Notamacropus eugenii: one gene and its partner. The protein of the gene in region 1 interacts with the protein of each later gene in a biochemical or structural test. Links are inferred from orthologs where the notes say so. Each region holds a gene or a part of one and is shown on either strand. Other genes may lie near its edges.

Region 1 (10,868 bases):
CTAAAGCACAGGTCTATGATATCCCCCTATCTAATGACTTCCTATGGCTACCTATTACCTTCAGGATAAAAAATAACCTCTTCTCTCATGTGTATAAAAATATTTATAGCAGCTCTCTTTGTGGAGGCCAAGACCTGGAAATTGAGGGGATGCCCATCAATGGGGAATGGCTGAACAAATTGTGATATATGAATGTAATGGAATACTATTGTGCTATAAGAAATGATGAACAGGAGGACTTCAGAGACGCCTGGAAGGACTTAAATGAACTGATGCCAAAGTGAAACGAGCAGAACCAGGAGAACATTGTACACAGTAACAGCCACAGTGTGCAAGGACTGTTTCTGATAGACTTAGCCCTTCACAACAATGCAAGGACCTAAAACGTTCCCAAAGGACTCGAGGCAAGATGGTTTCCACATCCAGAGAAAGAACTATGGAATTGGAACGCAGAATGAAGCTGACTATTTTCTCTGGTGTTATGCTTTGTTTTGTTTTGGTTTCTCTCATGGTTTTTCCCATCCTTTTTAATTCTTCTACACAACATGACAAATATGAAACTGTGTTTAATAAGAATGTAAGTGTAGAACTCATATAAGATTGCATACCATCTTGGGGAGAGGGGGGAAGGGAGAGGGAGAAAATTTAAGACATATGGAAGTGATTGCTGAAAACCAAAAACAAATGAATTAATTTATAAAAAAAATAAAGTAAATGATTTCACCCAGCCAAAAAAAAAAAACTCTTCTATTTGGTATTTAATATTGGGGTCATTACAGGGAGTTGGGTGGCCTAGTGAACACAGAGGTAAGCTTGGAGTTAAAAACACTTGAGTTCAGATTTGGACTCAGACATTTACTAGCTTTGTGAATATGAACAAATTACCTAAAACCTCTATGCCCTCTGTTCTCTTGTCTATAAAATAGGACTAATAATAGTGCCTACTTCCCAGGATTGTTTTAAGGATAAAATGAGTTAATATTTGTAAAGTACCTCACAAACCTTAAAATACTTTAAAAAATGTTCACCATAATAGGATCAGGTCTAGATCCTTTGGATAGATCTCCAAGTTGACATTGTATCATTAATGACCATTATTTAGGTCATCACTGAATCTACCCAACTGTACTATCAGCCAGCCCATATCTCTCTATTTGTCCACAAAGACCAACCAATCAACAAGTGGTTATTAAGCATGTTTTATATGTCAAACACTGTACTAATCACTGGGGAACATAAGTAAAAAGAATCAAATGATCCCTTCTCACAAGGAGATTACATTTCAGTGAAGAAGATAAATACATATAAAAATATATACAGCATAAATACAAAGTTAATATGTATGTGTGTGTGTGTGTGTGTGTGTGTATATATATATATATATATATATATATATATATATATATATATATATATATAGAGAGAGAGAGAGAGAGAGAGAGAGAGAGAGAGAGAGAGAGAGAGAGAGAGAGAGATTGAGCTGGGACTTAGAGGAAGACAGAGACTCCAAAACAGAGATAAGAGGTGGGGATGGGAGAAGTGACACATTCTAGACATATGGGAGATGGAGTATTATGAGGAATAGATAGAGATTCATTTGGCTGGATATCATAGTGTGGGGTTAATGTTCAATGAACCAGGAAAGATAGGTTGGAGCCAGACTATGTGGAGTTTTAAAAGTATAAAATGAAACACTATGTCAAATGCTTCACTGAAATTTAAGACGATTTTTCTAGCCATTCTCTTGAGAAAGATTAGTATGGTATGATTTGTCTTTGATGAAGCTATACTGGATGGCTCTTAGTGATCAGTGCTTCTTTTTCTAGATGTTCACAAACCAACCCTTCAACTGTGCTCTAAAGTTTTGCCAAAAATTAAAGTCAAGGTTACTATCTTCTAGTTTGCAGGCACTATTTTCTTTCTTTTTTTGAAAATTGGGACATTTGACAGTGAAAGGAGAGAGTTGGATATTAATTTTAGAGACTGAGTCAGCAGGATTTGGTAATTGACTGGAAATTAAACAATTACTAAGCATTTACTAAGCACCATGAAGGAAGGAAAGGATTTCAATAAGCAGAGTTGTGAGGGAAAATCATTGTATGTGTGAGGCAACCAGGTGGATCCTATTCCCTTTTTATAAGATCATTTACTTAGTGCTTGAAGGATCAGTCAGATGTCAGTCAATAAGCATTGGTTAAGTGTTTACTATGTGCCAGGCACTGTGTAAGTTCTGGGGAAAAAAAGAAAAGCAAAAAACAGTTCCTGCTTTCAAGAAGTTGTCTGTCCACTGGGTTAGACAGTATGGAAATTTGAACTAAAGAGAATGAGGAATGGCATCTTGTAGAAGGTAGGATTTCAGCTAAGACTTAAAGGAAGCCAGGAGACAGAGATGACAAAGAAAAGATTTCCAGGCATGGGGATAGCCAGTGAAAATGCCCAACTGGAGAGATAAGTGTCTTGTTAGAAAAACTGCAGGAAAACCAAAGTCACTTAATGGAAGGGTGTGGGAATATAAAATTTAAGAGATCGGAAAAGGTAGATAGGGCCAACGTGTGAAGGATTTTGAATGTCAAATCCATTGTTCTTTTCACTGCCTCAGGGTGCATAAATATACTGTCCTAGTGACATAGCAGTTTGAGATCTCCAAAATTTCACAAAAGAATAAGACAGTAAATGCTTAACAATAAAACTTTATTTTGACTACATTTTGACTCATATAAGGAAAGGTATAAGGAGATACCCAGGGGCAGGAACAGAGAGCCAAGAGCAATAAGGGATGGATACAAGCAGGGCAACTCTAGGACACCTGGGGAAGGGATACATACACCCAGGGTGCAGGCAAAAGTTGTGAGTTTTATTGGGGGAAGTGGTTTTCCTGTCTCTGATATCACAAAATGGCTAGAGGATGTTGGCTATATAAACATAGCATATATACATTTTCAGAAAAGCACAGGGCTGCCAAGCCCAAGCAAGGGATATAATAATGAGAGGCACTCTTCAAAGAGAGGCTAGGTCCAAAAAAAAAAGGGGGGGGAGGAGGGCTTTATTTTGAGGACTATCATATATAAAGGCAAGGAAGGAAGGGCAAGACAAAGCTGAGAATCACTGAAAAATCTACTTAGGGTAGAATATAAAGTGCAGGGGGAACTAGTATGTGATGATGCTTAAAGCTATGTTGGGGTCTTGAATGACAGGATGAGAAGCATATATTTTATTCAATAAACAACAGGGAGCATCTAAAGGTTTTTTTAAAAAGAATAACATCTTATATACAAGGAAATTATTTTGATAGTAGTTTCAAAGATAAATTAGAGAAGGGGCAACCAATTAGGATAAGACAGTATTCTAGTTAAGAAGTAATGAGGACTTGAACTAGTTGTAGCATATCCCTTTACAGAATAGGAAACAAAAAGAATGCTCTGTCTTTTGAATTATTTCCCTGCTCTAAATCTATGACCTTATGGTCCTATATTCACGGCTCTCACTGAATATTGATAGAGGCCTGGTTAAGTCTACACTAGAAAAAATTCTTCCAAATTCAATTCTGTTTTACAAGTATCCTTAACTCTACTACTACCACCAAGGTCAATCTTCATAGTTATGAGATGCCCTCTCTTTCATCCAGGCCTCCTATTTTCCCCTAAAGTGAAATTCCCTCTAAAAAGGTGGGGGAGGGATAGGGAGAGGAAGGAGGGAAAGAAATTAAATGAGTAGTCAGAGAGGGAAGTTATGGATATTGGGAGTCACAAATACAACTGGAGGTGCATAGTGGAGCAACAAACTCATGGGCTGAGGCTACTAGATTTCTTAAATCCCTGAGGCCAAGGCCTGAGGTTGAACAGGGCAGCTTGTAACTTGTCTCTGCCCAACAGCAGACTAATCAGTGAGGACACCTTATTCCTTAAGATCTTGGCTTGTATTCAACACCTCCACCCAAAGAAAAGCAAACAAACAACAATCACTTTTTAGTTTCCCTCTGACTCAAGTGAAGAAAACCGAGGCCTGAAAAGAAAAAGGTGCACTAATATGCAAAGTTCTTGTACCTAGCACTACTGTGCAGCCCCTCCCAAGTTTATCCCCTTCTTGTACCCTCAATGCGCTTCTTTTGGGAAAAGGAATTTGCAGAATTTTCTCTTTCCTCAACCCAAGAACTGGGGGGAAGATTCTGGAGGCTGATTTTATTTTTTTTTAGCAGGTTATCAAGGGAAAGGTTGTAAACAACCCTGTTGTTGAGGGTGCCGTTTCAGAAAATATCTTGGCCGAAGGCCCTGGCAAGTTATTACTGCCAAAGCTAAATAGTTTTTTGACATTCAAGGCAAGCTTGGCATAACAGGGAGCATATCCATACCACTCAGGTCTGCAAAGAGTGGCGATAACAGAAAAATACGTAAGAAAAATACCCAGGACAAAGACAGATTTATTGTAGGATATGGAAAAAGAGTTGGATTCAGCATTTCATGGTTATGCCCAGATAAATATCAGTGTTTTTAACTTCTCCAAGAAGTCTTCTATAATACTACAGCTTCAATTACTCTGTAGCTCTTCTCTACCTTCGATACTCATATGCACAATAATTAAACTTTAATTTACAGTCTGATGTATTTTGTGTTTTTATGTTGTTTTTTTCTTTTTGTTCGTTCTCTACTATCTAAAAGCAAATCCTTCAGCGTTAAGGACTGTGAAACATCACACCAAGACTGACCTGGGAACTCAATCACTGCTCTTCACTGACAAAAACACCCTCTATTTTGTTAGGTAACTGTACAACAGAGTGCTACTTCTAACCCACACACCCCCTGGGATCAAGATGTTCCTGGGGCTAATTCCGTTCTTTCTTACCAATTAAGTCATCAAGCCTCATCCCGGAACTTTCTCCTCTTCGATTGTAATTTGCTAGCCTGAGGGTGTTATCACAATTGGGGTGTGAGATGAAGGAATTAAGGTCCTTATCATCATAGGAAAAAAATAGTGGAGGAAGTGGGGTTCCATTCCATTCTACTGCCTTTCTATATGTTCTCAGACTTTTGGACATCAGCATCCCCTTCTGACCAGGAGGACTGAAGCAAATTTCAGATATCCACAAATAGAAAAGACAGGGAGCCTAAGAAAGGAAAGATGAACTGCATCTAAAAATAAAAGTTCTAATTATAACAGAGTTTTTGGCCTTAGTAGGACTAACTTTCAATAGTCATCTTCTAAGATCTTATGGCCAACTCATTCAGGGGAAAACCCACCTGATAGAGAGATCCAAATTAAGCCTCCTGAAAGCACAGCACACAATAGGATATTAGTTAGACTTTCTGGAGACTTCCAAATCTGCTTCCTCTTCCCTTCATTTCTTCATTTTCTAAAGGCTTTTGGAAAAAGTAGTGATCAATAATCATATATATACTTGAAAAAAACAACTGTTCTGTTGTGCTTAGGATTGCTTCTTCCATGAGCTGAGACACAAGTTTTTCTCCTTCATCTTGAGGTTGGTTTTCCCCCTTTTTGGGGGGCTGCGGGAGCGTGTAGGGAGGGCAGAGGGTGCCAGAGCAGGGGGTGCCAGCTGGCTCAGAGAGCGCTTAGGTCAGGCATTAGAGATGGGTGGAGGATCCTATGGCTTTGTCAGGTGTGAAGCAAGATTGGCCAAGCAGATGCTTGGGGATAAACGCACTATATTCGCTGTATTCCTCAAAGGGGCGACCAGGTACATGGGGGCATGGACACAGTGTCCCCCCTGCTCTACAGGGAAAGACGACGCAGAGATGGGGGGTTAAGCCACACACCCTTCTTGTTTCCCTTTCAAAAAGAACAGGGTGGTTGAGGAGGGGAGGGGGAAAAGAAGGTGAGGAAAGGCAATAATCCTTGTGAGGAAGCCAGGAGCTGAAGGAAAGGGGGGTGAGAAAACTCACGCCCCCCAATGTCCAATTTGGGGGCTCAGACTGAAGAGAAAGTTGACAGACACCAGTGACCCCCCCCTTTTTTCTCTAAGTTTTCTGGGGAGGGTTTGCCTGAAAAAGGAATTCTCCCTCCGTCCCCATTCCTTCAATTCTCAATTTAATGGAGAACTTTCCAGGGTTTCTGTGGGAATGTCTTTGAGGAAAGTCGCCTAAATTGGGTGAACAGAGGACAGTCAGAGATGACTCGAGATCTGAGGGGCCTGAGCAAGGTTGGGTTACCCTAAAGTTAGCCTCGCGCACTAAAGAGAAGCCTGCCATGCCCCTGGGGGGCTTTTCCCCTTTCACCCAAAAACGCCAGTCCTTGACATCAACACCCGCCCTCCGACGTCTATTAGAACGCTGATAGGCTTAGGGGCAATCCCTTCGCCCTCCTTTCATTTGTCTCCAGGGACGTCGCTCAAGAACCCCTCCGCCCCCTCCTTCCTCGGAGGAAACCGTGCACAACAACCGTTTACCCCGCCAGGGGCACACTGTGTCCACGCGCTCCAGGCCGCGCGCTGATTGGCTGTGTCCCTGGTAAACAAGGAAAAGGCAGCCAATGGGAAGATTGTGCACGAGGACAGCACGAGCCACCTCGCAGGCCCTCGCGTGGCTCCGACAGTTAGAGCCCTATATAGGGCTGTTTCCGCCTGCTCCTTGAGTCAATCCCTAGAGCGCTGCCTTCGGACCTGTGCTTTCTCGTCCCCAGATTTCGGGGAGGGGCATTTCCTTAAAACTCCTTTTGGTCTCAGACACGAAGCCTTTTTTTTCTTTCGAAGTCCCTTGACTTATATTTTCTAGGCTTTTCTACTTTTTAAAAGTTTGCAAAGGCTGATTTGAGAGGCTCTTCGATTTCTTAGAATCCAAGCGCCCAGCCTGTCAGCGGACAAGCCCATCCAGACCAGGGAGACCGAACTGTCCGTCCTCCGCTTAACCGGAAAGGTTAAATCCTCCTTCGGCTCTCTCTCTCGAGAAACTTTATTCCTTGTCTGCCCCGTTCTCTGAGTGACCCAACCCCCAGCTATGGTGATGTTCAAGAAAATCAAGACTTTCGAGGTGGTCTTCAGCGACCCCGACAAGGTGTACAGCAGTGGGGAGAAGGTGGCCGGCCGGGTGGTGGTGGAGGTGTGCGAGGTGACCCGGGTCAAGGCGGTCAGGATCCTGGCCTGCGGAGTGGCCAAAGTGCTGTGGCTGCAGGGCTCGCAGCAGTGCAAGCAGGTGGTGGACTACCTGCGCTACGAGGACACGCTCCTGCTGGAAGACCAGCCCGCAGGTAAGGGGCGCGCCCTGCAGGGCGGGGGTGGGGGGAGGGCCCCAGCTGTTAGAAAGGGAGCCCTGGGGCACTGTTCTGGGGGGGGGCGGGGGGAGCTGAATCTTTGTCCTTGCATCTGGCCAAGTGAGGAGTATTCCCAGCCTTCGCTTGAGCTAAGCTGCAGTGCCTTGGATGCTTAACGAAGTCTCAGTGTTAGAGCTGGTTTCAGGGTCGGCGCTTTGGACTCCTTTACATCATTAACCTTTCCTTTCGGGAGACTGGAATGTAGTTAGTTTCAGAAAATGGTCCTTATATTGTTTAGGCATTTCTGCATTTAAAATAAGATCAGTACCACTTTTTTAGTAAGTCTAATGGTGGATCTTTTTTTTTTTCCTTTCCCTGAAGCTAACGATGAGTTTGTGATCCTGAGACCTGGAAACAAGTATGAGTACAAGTTCGGCTTTGAACTTCCTCAAGGGTAGGTGTTAGCTCTGCTGTCCTTTTCTTTAAAACCTCCCTTCCCTTAGGCACCCAAGGTTTCTTGATGGTTGAGTAATCTAAAAGGAATCGTTCTCTTTATTCCACCCTAGGCCTCTGGGAACCTCATTCAAGGGGAAGTATGGCTGTGTAGACTACTGGGTAAAGGCTTTCCTAGACCGTCCCAGCCAGCCAACTCAAGAAACCAAGAAGTACTTTGAAGTGGTAGATCCAGTGGATGTTAATACTCCTGATTTGATGGTAAGCTTTCCCAATAGGCTTAAGTCTTGAGTAGTGAGAGATCTTAGGAAGCAGGAACCCTGCCTCTTGACAAGGCGTATACTGAAAATAAAAATCTAATCTTTAGCTTAAAATGAAAGTGAATAAACATTTAACTCTTAAAGTTTCTGACAGCAGTATAGTCTCACTAAACCCTACAAAACCTGGTTGTCATGACCATTGACAAAGATGTTCAAGCAGAGCTTAGAGGAGAGTATAATTATGGTAGATGATGATACTGCAGGTCTTATCTAATATTACATGATAATGGACTAGAATCTCAGGAGATAGAGGTCCTCATAATGAAAAGCAGGAGCCATCTTTACTTGGCAATTCTCAGAAACTTTAACAAAGATTTCTTTATTTTCCCTATTCAGGCACCTGTGTCTGCCAAAAAGGAGAAAAAAGTTTCTTGCCTGTTTATTCCTGATGGGAGGGTATCTGTCTCTGCCCGGATTGACCGAAAAGGATTTTGTGAAGGTAAGAGAAGTCTGGGCTTGGGAGAGGCAGCTATTGCATAGTGTTGGGGAAGGGTTATGAGCCATAAATCATCAGCTATACAGTCTTTAGTAACAAAAATCAATGCTTTTGTCAGGTGATGAAATCTCCATCAATGCTGACTTTGAGAATACGTGTTCCCGAATCGTTATGCCAAAGGCTGCTATTGTTGCCCGCCACACTTACCTTGCCAATGGCCAGACCAAGGTGTTGACCCAAAAGCTATCTTCTGTTCGAGGCAACCATATCATTTCTGGCACCTGTGAATCATGGCGTGGCAAAAGCCTTCGTGTACAGAAGATTAAACCCTCCATCCTTGGCTGCAACATCCTTCGTGTTGAATACTCTTTATTGGTGAGTGAGTCTGTCTCTGGGATTAGGGTAAATTGATCATTGAATCAAGCAGTTTTATATTTATATGTCATGGCACTCTGGTGTAACAGAAACAATTTTTTTCTTTCCTATATATAGATCTATGTCAGTGTCCCTGGATCTAAGAAGGTCATTCTTGACCTGCCCCTAGTCATCGGCAGCAGGTCAGGACTCAGTAGTCGGACATCCAGCATGGCTAGCCGAACCAGCTCTGAAATGAGTTGGGTGGATCTAAACATCCCTGACACTCCAGAAGGTGAGCCAAAGTAGTATACCCCTGTACTCCTATTTTCCCACCAAAGATTCCTGGAAATCAGAATTTGGTTGTCTGAGTTGTTTATTTTCTCTATTTTCTCTATGCAGCACCTCCTTGCTACACGGATATTATTCCTGAAGATCACAGACTGGAGAGCCCCACCACTCCTCTCCTTGATGATAGCTCTCTGGACAGCCCCATCTTTATGTATGCATCCCAGTTCAAGTTTATGCCTCCACCCACTTACACTGAGGTGAGAATTATTACCTTCATTGAATGAAGGTGGAGGTGGGGGTTCCCAACTTACATATTCTGATTCCCCTGCTTCTCTCCTACCCTCTAAATCTAAAACCATCTTTCTTTTTTCCCTTCTAGGTGGATCCCTGTATTGTGAACAACAATGTGCAGTGAATGTACCAAAGAAGAGAAGCAGCTGTTTATCTACCTGTTTCTTTCTGTCTCTCCTGGACTGCTTTTTCAGAGGCATGATGGTCTCTACCCACTGTTGGGGATGGGTTTCCTTTCACCTCTATCTCCCTGATGTTAGGAGATAAGCAGGCCGTCATCTCCTAAAACAGATGCCAAAGTGCGTCTACCCTCTCAGCCGATCTTGCTGTTGTGTCATAGAGAGAGGATGTATGCTGGTTTGTGGGAGGTTTGGACTCTGTTGTGACCCGTTTCCTCAGAATTCCCCTGAAATATGAGGGGTTTTCAGTAGTTTGGTCAGGGTTGGGATGGCCTCTAGTTTGGTCTTCCCAGGATCTCTGGGGAGGGTGGGGTATTGATTGCAATCACAAAAAGTTGACTTCTGGGAATCACCATGCCAGGCAAAGGTGATTTAATGATCTGGGAAAGGTTTTATAGAAATAATGGCCAAAATTTTGGTGGGAAGAAGAGGCTTCCTGAAATGAGTATAGCCCTTCTCACATCTCCACTGTATGTATATGTTTAAAGGTGCTCCCAGTTTTTTAGAAATTTCTCCTGATGAGAAAGGGAAGTGTGATCCCCTGCACTTCTCGGATGATACGTTATCCTTGTTTCAAAGCAAAGGCAAAGAGGAGGGAGGCTGGTGAAAGCCTGTGCCTAAGCACTTTGTTCTTCCTCTTTAGGAGTTTGGGTTCAGTGTTGGTAGGTGGTAGGAGGGGACTCCCTTGGAGTTAATTCTGAAGTATTGTTCTTAGCACTTTTGTTCTCTTTTCCATTGGGGATTTTCCTCCTAGTTCCCCCTAAGCATTCAACTAACGGGTCTGGGATGGTTAAGGGAAAACTAATGATTGTGATGAAATTCTTGTCTTTACTGGTAGCTTTCTGAGGAGTAGTTATTAAGGGAAGGTCCTTCAGTCCCAGCCCTGCAAATTGGAAAAGAGGCTACCAGAACACTCCAAAGCTGGGATCATGCTGCCAAATAACCTCTTAGGAAACAAATCAGAATCGGGCAGCTTTCCCACCCTTGAACACAGTTCCCAGTGTTAAAAGAGGAGTTTTGAATAATTCCTTTTTCCCCTTAGCCCTCAGCACTTAATTAAGCAATCAGCACTTTCTCTACTGTCTTGTGTCAAAGCACTGAGCCCCCCCCCCCCCCACACTCTTATCTGTGAACTGTACAACTTAGAAAATGGACTGAACGTGGTTTTGGTTTTTTTTTTTTAAATGTTTTATCTTTTTGTATGTTAAAAAATTATATTTTGTACTTTTTATCAGAGATATTTTCAACTCCTTGGAGGTCTTTTTTTAAAAATAAAAATTTTATAAAAATAAAAGTTTTCTGTTTTTCTTGGGTGGAAGTTTTTGGAGAGATTAAAAAAGTATTTGA
Region 2 (11,030 bases), on another chromosome or scaffold:
CCCTGTTGCCAAGGTCTATTGGTTTTATCTTTGTAACATCTTGGTATATTTTCCTTCTCTCCTCTGATGCTGCTACTACCCTAACACAGGCCTTTATCTCCTCACACCTAGATTACTATAATTGCCTACTGATTGCTCTGCCTCTATACATATTATCTTTAAGATTTACAGACTGTCATGAGATCTCCCTAGTCCAGTCCACCTGCCACTCAGTCATCAAAATCCAACCACGTCATGCACACTTCCTGCCTCCTTACTCAACAAACTGACCCCCTACTTTTCCAATCTTTTCACACCTTATACATTTTCCTGAGCTCTTCTATTCAAGGACATTGACTGCCTTCTTGTTACTAAAACAAGTATTTTGCTAGCTATCCCCCACACTTGGAATGTTCTCCTTCTTCATCTCTTCTTCCTGGCTTCCCTCACTCTCCTCCAAGTACAAGCTAAAATCCTATCTTCTACAGGAAGCCTTTCCTAACCCTTCTTAATCCTAGTGCTTTCCTTCTATTGATTATTTCCGGGGTTTTTTTTTTAACTAGGTAAAGAGACCACTCTCTGCCTCATTTCTTACCTAGCCTAATCACTGATTGGACATTGCTTCAGTCAAACTAAGACTTGTTAAAAAACTTAGCTTGAAAAGGCCAAGGTCCCCCATTGCATCCTGGACCATCACCAGTTGTCCTGATCTTTATCTGGCCACTGGTCCCAGATGGTTCGAGAGGAGAAAGTGAGGCTGGTGACTTCACTTAAAACTAATTTACTTGCATGTCATGGTCCTTCCTGATGTCATGGTCCTCTTCAAGAATGAAGGACAAACAACAATTTCTAATTTATCCTGTACATAGTTTGTACTCTTTGCATGTTATCTCCCTCATTAGATTGTGAGTTCTTCAAAGGTCCTTTTTCCTTCTTTGTTTCCCTCCAGCTCAGCACAGTGTCTGCCACATAATAGGTGATTAATAAATATTTATTGATTGATTAGAAAAATATAATAAAGTGCTTTGAAAACCTTAAAGCACTTTATAAATATTGGCTACTATTTTTATTTTAATTAGAGGCAGCTTGGTGTAGTAATAGAGTTATCCCTGAAGCTTAGAAGACTTGGGTTCAAGTCCTGCCTTTGATACATACTGGGCAAATCACTTAAGCTCTCAGTGCTACAGGCAACTCTCCAAGTCGATAAGATTCAGAGAAGTTGCCAACTTGAATCAGCAGAGGGAATTTCCTCACCCTAGGGTTACATATACCAATGAAATCAGAGGTCTAATCCTATCCCTATTGATATAATCATATGGCTTGAACTTTTGTGGGGGGGGTTATACAATTATGTTAGTTGTTTCTGTAATACTGAACCATTCTTGTAATACTGGTATAAATCCAACTTGATTCAGAATTTACAATCTATGATTGAAGAAACTGTATCATCTTCCTCCTCCTTTTTTTTCTTTCTCCTTCATCACATATGGTCTCTCTGTCCATGTGGGAATGAATGCTCTTTCCAAAGGAATATGATTTCACTTATATTTTATAAGATGTCTTGGGGCTTGGGAGCTAGAATTTTTAAAATTTCCTATGTATTTCATAATTTATTTTTTCAAAAAGCTGGGACAATTAACTCTTTGTCTTACACAGTTTTCATTTATGATTTCTTGAAATATAGTTGTGAGTAATAGTAGCTACCTTCTGGGGATCCAACTTGTTAGTCAAGTTGAGCAATGTTTCTATTTCTTCTCCTCCTCCTCTTCCTTCTTCCTTTATCATATGTGGTCCCTCTGTCCACATGAGGAGTCATACCCTTACATGTGGGTGCTCTATCCAAAGGAATACAATTTTCGGTTTCTTTTATCATTTTTTCAGGAAGCTGGGACAGTTAACGCTTTGTCTTATATAGTTTGCATTTATGATTCCTTGAAATATAAATCTGAAAAAACAGGCTTTGAAAATCCCATTATGATTCAAATGGAGCTACCTGACTAGGCCTTTAAACCCAAATTACTCTGGGTTTCATTAACTGACCAATAACAGTTCCCCAATCCAAACCTCTCTTGACCATTTTTGGGTTTTAATGGCTAAGAATGAAAGCGAGTACCAATTGTTTTCTATTCTGGCCAAAAACTCTAAGGGTCTTCTCCTCCCAGGTTGATTCCTTTGTAATGGCAAACTAGGTCATCTTCTCTGTCTCAATTCTTACCTAGCCCTTGATCATTTAATGGGTGTTGCCTCAGACAAACTGAGACTTGAGACCTTAGTTTAAAAAGGCCAAGATCACCCACTGTATCCTGGGCAATTGCCAGTTGTCTGACTTTTGTCTTGCCGTTGAACTCTGGTGACTGGAGGAGAGTGAGGCTGATGATTTTACACAGCTCTGCCTCACTTAAATCCAGTTTATTAGCAAGTCAAGACTCCACCCTTATGATGTCATTGGTCCTCCTGAAGATAAAGGATGTACTACAATTTTGACTCCTTTTCCTAAGGGCCAGTTTTTCATTCCTCTTGGGGAGAAACCAGTTTAGAATTGGAGGAAGGTTGTGAAAGAATGGAACTTGATCCATAGTTAAAAATGTCAGCCTGCCCCTTTCTAATAGTAGGAAACATCATAGACTCATAAGCTAGTCCTACTATAAGGGACCTTCTTGATCATGTTAGGTCACTTTACAGATGGAAAAGCAGAGGACTACAATAGAAAGGGGCTTGCCCAAGATCATATGGGGAGATCATGTCAGAACCTGAGTCAGAACCCAGATGTGTAGCCTCCTAGTCCTGGCTCTTTGTCCTGTAGCCTTGATCAAAGGAGGGCACTAAGTACCTAAAATCTAGAACAGAAGTGGGGGTAGGGGGTCAGGGTGAAAAGGTGATGAGCATGAGGATCATTGATGGCAAACTGCAAATTTCATTATGGGCTGACCCCAGAGGTCACTCATCTGCAGATGTTCCCCTTGCAGAATAGTTCTAGAAATAACCATTTTAGCTCTTCACCATCTGGTTCCAGCCTACCTTTCTTGGCTTATCACACATTATTACCCTTCACACTTTACCAGCATTCTAGCTAAACTGACCTATTTGCTGTTCTAGAATTCAGCATTCCATCTCCTCAGAAAACTCATTTCCTGCCCAGCTGCACTCATTTTGGCTTTTCTACCATGCCCCTATAACTTCATCACTGGGAAATCTTATAACCTTGCAAGATCCAATAACCCTTGATATTCATACCACATCAATACCCTCTGCCCCTCTGAAGGATGGAAACATAAACTCTTCCTAATACCCTCTCCTTGCTCAATTTCCTGTATATACTTGTCTGCTTACCTCTTTTTCTCCCCACAAACCCACCCCTCTCACCCCAGACAGAACATAAGCTCCTTCAGGGCAAGGAATGGTTTTTTGTTTTGTCAGGTAGATGATACATGGTAAATTAGACTGGATTAGAGATATTATCAGAGTCCCCACTGTGGCAACAGTTAGGGTTAGTTAACCTTGTTAAGCTGGGCAGCCAATCAAAATCTTAACACAATTCTCTATACTAGAGTATGAACTCCTGAGGAGCCCTGCCCCTGGTTTCTAGACTCCCCAAACTAGCTGCTGCTGCTAGCTCATCTTAGATGTCTGGGGCTTCATCACCCTACCATCCTCAAAGCCTTCTCAACCCAGAATGTTCCTCTGGAAGGCCCATCCTTTCCTCTCAGTGATGAGTTCCTCTAGTACCCTCCATTTTGTGAAGGGTCAGAGGGTGCCTTTCATTTCCCTCCTGGGCCTATTCCTGGCTCCTGGACTTCACAATCATGCCCCTGTGCTGCCTATCTTCATTCCCCACCACACACACCTTTTTCACCTCGTGTGTGTGTGTGTGTGTGTGTGTGTGTGTGTGTGTGTGTGTTCCTATATTAGAATATAAGTTTCCTGAAGACAAGGGCTCTTCCTTTCTGTTTATATTTGTATCAGTAGCACTTATCACAGTGTCTGACACTATTGCATATCCTTAATAAAAACTATATGTAAGCTTAATAAATGCTTCTTTCCTTGCTTGAGGTTAAGGACCAGTTATTCATCTTTATTAACTTGGGAACGTAGTTTATTATTTCTTTTATTTATAAATTTATTAACCTTGGGAAAATCATTTTCTTCCTCTGAGTTTGTTTCCTCTTCTGTAAAATGAGAGGACTTGATAAATCGACAGTCTCTAAGACTTCCTCCATTTCTGGCATCTGTTTTGTTTATGTTCTAAGGTTCCTTCTGGCTCTTACATTCTGTGTTCTAGGATCCTTTCTAGTTCTATATTTCATTAGGTAAGTCCCCTTCCAAGCATGACATTTCATGATTTCATGTGCTTCCTCCCCATATGGACATATTCTTGGCTATTCCATTACAACTGCACAACTCCCCCACCACAGAGCTGTATATAGTTGTATATAGATTTCATATTTGATGGGTAAATAATGAAAGAGGAGGGGAAGACTGATGATAAGCTTGAGGCACTGGGACAAAGGGGGACAGTAATTAGGCAAATCCAAAGGTCCCTGTCAGTCTATAAGGTCTTTAATAGCCTTTATAAACTCATCTAATATCTTGTTTACTTGAAGCCTGGAAGGATTTGTGTGTTGGAAAACACCCCTAAATCCCTAGCTGTTTGGCTCTCCCCTAGTCTCTGAGGGACCTCTCAGAGGATCTACTTTGAGAAAAAAAGAGACAGAGACAGAGAACAGAGGAAGTAAAAGGGATAGAGAAAGGAAAGGGAAAAAAAAGAGGAAGAGGGAGAAGAGGAAAGAGAAAGGAAAGATGATGAAAAGGAGAGGAAAAGGAAATGGAGGAGAGAAGGCAAGAGAAGGAGAGGGAAAAGAGAGGAAAGGGAAAAGTAGGAGAGGCAGATGAAAAGGACTTTCCTTTAAAGGTAAAATAGGCTGCTCCGGAGACTTACTCATCAGACTCAGCTCAGCATGAGAAGCACACACCCAGCCTCTCCCTGCCTGCTCCCAGGCTCCAGAGAGTAAATTGCCTCTGTCCACACACATTTCCCTCCCCCCGCTTCCCCCACTACCCACATGTGCTCACACAGGCACCAGCATAGCATGGACCTTTACTCTGCCTGCCCGACACCAAGCTCTGCTCCACCAACCCCAAAGGTTTCCCTTCCTTTGTTGGTCTTTTGAAATCAACTGAATCTCTAGGAATAGATTCGGGTTCAAGCCACGGATAACTCAGCTCTTCCAAGACAAAGTGTCCAGTGTGAGTCCAGCCAGGAGGAATGTGAGAAAGTTTCTGCATCTCAGCCTGCATGTTCCTTGGGATCTCAAAGAGCTATCTGGCTCCCCTCAATACAACCCTCACACCATCCCCCAAGTCACAGAGTCAGCTCAGAGTTTATTGTTAGGGTTTGCTTCAAGGGAGAGAGGGATGACCTGGCATGATTCTGTAAGAAGGCAGGATGATGCTACCAGGGAGATTCTGGTTGTAGTCCTGTATGTCACTAACTCTCTGTTTGACCTAGAGTAAGTAACCACACAGTGAACTTGTTTCCTCCTTCTTTAAAAGAGGGAGACCCTCTCCCTGCTCTCATAACCTCACAGACCAATTGTCTTCATGACATCCTGAGTTACTTAGTACATATTTTTTTACATATATATATGTGTGTGTGTATTTATATATACATGATATAGATGTAGATATGTTGCTCACCCACACATACACACACAGAGCAGAGACTTCCATTTTTGTCTTTGTAGCTCCCTCAACTCCCACCTAACAGAGTAGATTTGATTTGAATGGAAAAGTAATATATAATAAAGCTGTAGAAAAAAGTAAGGTATTATTTTAAGAGCAAGCCACTTCTCACTGAATCCCAGTTTCCTCAGTTGTCAAATGGAGAGATTAAATGATAGATAGCACTGATAGATGGATAGATCCGGCGCTGGAAGGGACATCAGAGGCCAGCTAATCCAAACTCCTCATTTTACAACTGAAGAAACTGAGGCCCAATATTTAGTGACTTACCCAAGGTCACATGGATAGTAAGCATCAGAACTGGGGTTTGAATCCAGGTACTCGAGCCATCTCTCTTTCCCCGAAGTCCTTTGGTGCCCCTACATCCCTCATGTTTCTTTGCTGCGCTAGAGTAATACCTGAATAGTTACAACCCAGGGGTTGTAACTGACCCAGCCAGGGGTCAAATGGCTGTGCCCCTTCTTGTTTCCACTATCATCCCAGTCCTTTCGTAGGGATGGCTTGGAAATGGTCCCTGACTGTCTTAGGGTAGCTCTTTCCGCGGGGTTATGGAAGAAGCAGGACCTGTCTTGGACACCAGAAATGAATGGACTCCAGCACCCTGAGACCAGGGTGTTTCTTCTTCCTAGGCAGACAGAGGCAGCATCCTAGGGTCCGGCAACCAGATTTCGGCCCCCCCAACCCTCCCCCGCGGAGGAGGAGCTTAGAGCTGGGCCTCTTAGTTAAGAGGCCAACACACCCCCAACACACCCCCTGGCTCCCACAGCCAATCAGAGAAAGAGAGACCCGGCCACACATTGCCTCTATAAACCACAGGCTCGGCATTCCCGGCAAGAGCGAGAGCGGGACGGCTCCAGTGGGGTGGACTTAATCAGCCAGGCCCCGGGAGCGCAGTACCAGAGAGGGGAAAAGGGGGAAGGAAAGAAAGGAGAAAAAGTAGTTGAGGGAAAGGAGAGGAGAAAAGAAAAAGGCAGAGAGGTAAGGAAAGAAAAGAGAGGAGAAGAAAAAAGTATAAAAGAGTAGGGAGAAAAGCAGAGCGCAGGGGAAAGCAGCGCGCCCCGGCTTCCCTCCCGAGAGCCCTGGGGATCCGAGCCGGAGCCGGAACCGGAGTGCAGAGAGCGGTGGCAGCCTAGGCAGCGGCGGCGGAGTCGAGCGCACGGCGAGAAACATGGACTCCGGAGGCAAGGTAAGAACCGCGCTTAGAGAACTAAGAACTAAGTCCCCACCGAGAGGCCGCGGGCCATGCCGCTCTCCCGCCCCCGGCCCCAGGCTAGGCGAGCGGCGTGCTCGGCTAGTGATGCGAGGGGAGGGGCTGAGTCACCGGCGGCTTCCGGCTCCGCGGGCTCAGATCCCGGAGTGCCCAGCAGTACCCCACCCCCCGGGGACTGCCGGGGGCCCCAGAAGGCTCTGGGGGTGGAGGCGAAGGAGCATGGGGGGCCTACGCAGCAGGTGGCTGTTCCCCAGTCCGGCCGAGCCTGGAGATTCGGGGCATCGCCGAGGGGAGCGTGGCGTGGCGCCCCCAGTCCGGCCCAGCCGCGTGGTGTGTGCGTAGAAGGCCCTCTTGGGCTCCTGACGCCTAACGTGATCCGGTGCCGAGACCTGCATGCCCAGGGAATGTCCGGGGAAGTGGGGACTTGGGGCCGTGGCGGGGGTCGAAGGGCCCCGGGCTAGAAAGGTGCGGAGCGCGCGCGCCTTCCTTCGCTTCCCGAGGCGTGGTGCCTCCGCCCCTGTCCCCGCCTCTCCGGACTGGCTAGGGGCCAGCCGCCGGCGGGAATTTGAGGGAATCTGCGCCCCCGGCCCAGTCTGGCGGCTGCACTCCCCCCACTCCCTGGAAGCCACCAGTTTGACCGCCAGGCCTCTTCTGGCACAGTGGAGAGCCGAGGCCGTCATTCTGAGGTCGAGTTCTGCCTCTGCCAATTCCTGGCCGTGTGACTGTGGGCAAGTCGCTTCCCCTCTCTCTGGTCATGTGAAATAAGGGAGCTAGAGTAAGATCCCTTAGGTCCCTTTTCCCTCTCCTGCTGTGTGATCGGCGCAGGGCGCAAGCGCTCCAAGCGGGGGGCCGGCTGGGTGGGCGAGGGCTGACACTAAACCTTGGAATGGAAGATCTTGTCTCGGAGTCAGCCCTGGGCAAAGGAGAGACCTGGGGCTGGGTGGGGGCCCTGGTGATGTCAGCTGGGCAAACAAGCCTCTCGAAAAGGCACATCTGGCGAGTGGAAATTTATAAACTGATTGAAAGAAACCAAATTACAGTTGTGAAAGGGGAGGGCGCGTACGTGGGACTGTGAACTAGCAGGGAAACAGTTCCAGTCCCTCTCACTGCCACCCCCAAGTTTAGGGAGGTGGCGGGAAGTTTGGAGACCCTCATGGTCAGCAGGGAACAAAGGGTCCTATAGGGATTCCTAAGCGCGAGGCACTCCCCCATCTCTGACCTCGGTGGTCCAAGATTCCTCAGCTACACCGCAACTCCCTCCTTGCTGGGCCTTGGTGGGGCTCGGGCTCCTGACTTCGCCTCACCTCTCCCCAGGAGCCGAAGGAGAAAAGATGCTCTAGGACTCCGGTCCTAGACTCCAAGGGGAAGGACTTTTAGCTAATGTGGCTGTGTCGGGGAGGAGGGAGAGGGGGCGGGCGAGCCGAAGTTGCACGTTCCGCACGCACTAAGCCTTCTCTCTGGGGCTGGCCTCTCCCTGGCAGAGCCCTCCCCCAACTCTCCCACCCTCCTCTCCCTCCTGAGCTCTGTAGCTACCGGAAATTGGGGTGAGGGGCTAGGGGGGGAGGGGCTTCCCAGAGTTTGCTTCGGATTGGCCACACAGGCCGAGCCCCCTCTCCCACCTTCAACTACAGCCCCGAAGCTGCCCGACTGCAGATCCAGACATTCACAAGACCGGGTGGTCTCTTGGGAGAAGGAATCATAGTCCGGGGGAGGCAGGGACACACCTCAACTCCCTACCCCCTGTCCTTCTCTTGCTTCTTGTCTGAGGGACTGGAAAGATACAAAAAGGAGAAAGTTGAAGGCTGAGTGAGTTCTAGCTTCCTGGCAGAAGGGGAAAGGGGGATGGGAGAGGAGTAAAGAGACAGTCTCATCTCTCTTCCCCTCATAGGTCCTGGAAGGATCTGAACCCCACACCAAGCACAGCTCAGTCTAGGTGGGCACCCAGAGGGGCAGCAGGGAGGCCAAAGTGTCAGGATCTGGTTTACCAGGACTCTCAGATTGAACCCCACCCATCTTAGGGAGAGCACTTCCCGGGAACGACTGGCGTAGTTTTTCCTAGGGATACCTAGACAAATCTACCCCTCCGAATACTCTCACATGCTTCATCTCCAGGTTAATTCCTTTTCTCTTCACCTTTCAGGTTGGGGAGGGGGGGAAGCACTGAGGACCCTCTCAATCAGGAACAAATTACAACCTAGAGCATATCACTAGTGTGGGGAAAAGGTTTTCACAAAGCTTTGTGGAGGGAACATTGGACTTGGAGACACAACACCTTGAGTTCCTATCTCTACCACTTGTTGGCAATATAACCTTAGGGCCACCTTCTGAAGTTACCTCCTGAAGTGAAGGGGATGGGAACAGGTGCTACCAAGGTACCTTCTTACCTCTAACGTTTTGTGATCTATTTATTTTGTACGTAGTGGGAGAATTAAGAGGCCCAGAGGAAGGATCGAGGTTAGGATTAGAACCTCAATCTTCTGATATCTACTTCAGCTCTTTCCCATGAGCCCTCAGGCCCTACAATGCCCCCCTCTCTATACCATGCTCTACGTGTGTGTCTGTTTCTACACACATCCATGAACTGAATAAGGTTACAGTACCTCCCTCTTCCTCAGGCCATAGGTTCTTCAGTTTAGAACTAGAAGGAAAATCCAAGTTCTAGTGCTCTCATTTTACAGATGGGTAAACCGAGGCTCAAAGAGAGAGGAGGTATAACTTGCCTAAAGTCATACCAGGATTTACATATCAGAGCCAGGATTTGAATCAGGACTTTAACTCCAAATTCCAGCCCTCTCTCCATTATACCATCCTGCTTTATTATATTATCTAAACATGAGGGCTACTTTCAATATGACTCAAGAGAAATAGGGTTTTAATGAGGTTAAACTGTTTATATTCCTACATGGGAAGGTGATACTTGTAACTCTTAAGAACTTTATCATTATTAAGGCTTGTATTTGAAAGTAGACAGAGGGTACCATGTGAGTTGACTATGATGGGATGATTTTTTGAAAATGAGAGCTGTGCTAGGAGAAGGGGGAAGGGAGAGGTGGAGTGGGGTAAATTATCTCACATAAGATAGGTATGAAAGAGCTATTATAGCGGAGAAATAGATGGGGGGGTAGCAATGCTTGCACCTTAATCACTGGAATTGGCTCAAAGAGGGAATACATAGTTGGGTATAGAAATCATCTTATCCTACAGGGAAGTAGGAGGGGAAGGGGATAAGGTGAGGGGCTGATTGAAGACAGGATGGATTAAGGGAGGCAGTAGCCAGAAGCCAAAGACTTTTGATGAGGGTAAAAAGAGAAGGATAAGCAGGGGGAAAAAAATAAGACAGTAATCATAACTCATGAATGTGATGAACTTACCCATAAAACAGACTAGATAGCAAAATGGATTAAAAACCAGAATCCAACAATACATTTACAGGAAACACTTTTGGAACAAAGAAATACAGTAAAAATAAGGGGCAGAATCTCTTATTCAGATGAGGCAAAAAAGAAGGGCAGGGAGAGGGTAACAATCATGATCTCAGACAAAGCAAAAGCAAAAAAAAAAGATCTAATTTTAAAAGATAAGCAGGAGAACTGCATTTTATTAAAAGGTACTACAATGAAATAATATTAGTACTAAACATATATGTACTAAATGGCATACCATCCAAATTCTTAAAGGAAAAGTTAAATGAGTTATAGGCGGAAATAGACAGTAAAGGGTCTCAACTTTCCCCTCTCAGAACTAGACAAATCCAACCACAAAGTAAACAAGATATTAAGGAGAGGAATAGAATTTTAGAAAAGTTAGATATGGTAGACCTCTGGAGAAAACTGAATGAGAATAGTAGAAGTATACCTTCTCAGTTGTACATGACATGTACACAAAAACTGACGATGCATTAGGGCATAAAAATATCACGATCAAATGCAGAAACGAAGAAATATTAAATGTATCCTTTTCAGATCATAATAGAATAAAAAGTTACATTCAATAATGGTCCTTGCAAACATAGATTAAGAATTAATTGGAAACTAAATCTAACCCCCAAAATAAATGAGTCAAATGAATCATAAAAACAATCAATACTTTCATTAGAGAATGG

The links.
Region 2: the proteins of TXNIP (region 1) and SLC2A1 form a complex in vitro, tested with the Homo sapiens proteins (2 studies listed by BioGRID). The link is inferred for Notamacropus eugenii from reciprocal best matches to the Homo sapiens genes TXNIP and SLC2A1.

The regions. Positions count from the first base shown.
Region 1 is NC_092873.1:303,292,616-303,303,483, reverse strand, and holds TXNIP (thioredoxin-interacting protein), read left to right. Parts: upstream 1-6,530; 5' UTR 6,531-6,944; coding exon 6,945-7,194; intron 7,195-7,578; coding exon 7,579-7,651; intron 7,652-7,763; coding exon 7,764-7,911; intron 7,912-8,306; coding exon 8,307-8,409; intron 8,410-8,524; coding exon 8,525-8,781; intron 8,782-8,898; coding exon 8,899-9,055; intron 9,056-9,162; coding exon 9,163-9,308; intron 9,309-9,430; coding exon 9,431-9,466; 3' UTR 9,467-10,815; downstream 10,816-10,868. UniProt on the Homo sapiens protein: May act as an oxidative stress mediator by inhibiting thioredoxin activity or by limiting its bioavailability.
Region 2 is NC_092876.1:74,282,928-74,293,957, forward strand, and holds the start of SLC2A1 (solute carrier family 2, facilitated glucose transporter member 1), read left to right. Parts: upstream 1-6,510; 5' UTR 6,511-6,886; coding exon 6,887-6,904; intron 6,905-11,030. UniProt on the Homo sapiens protein: Facilitative glucose transporter, which is responsible for constitutive or basal glucose uptake. Has a very broad substrate specificity; can transport a wide range of aldoses including both pentoses and hexoses.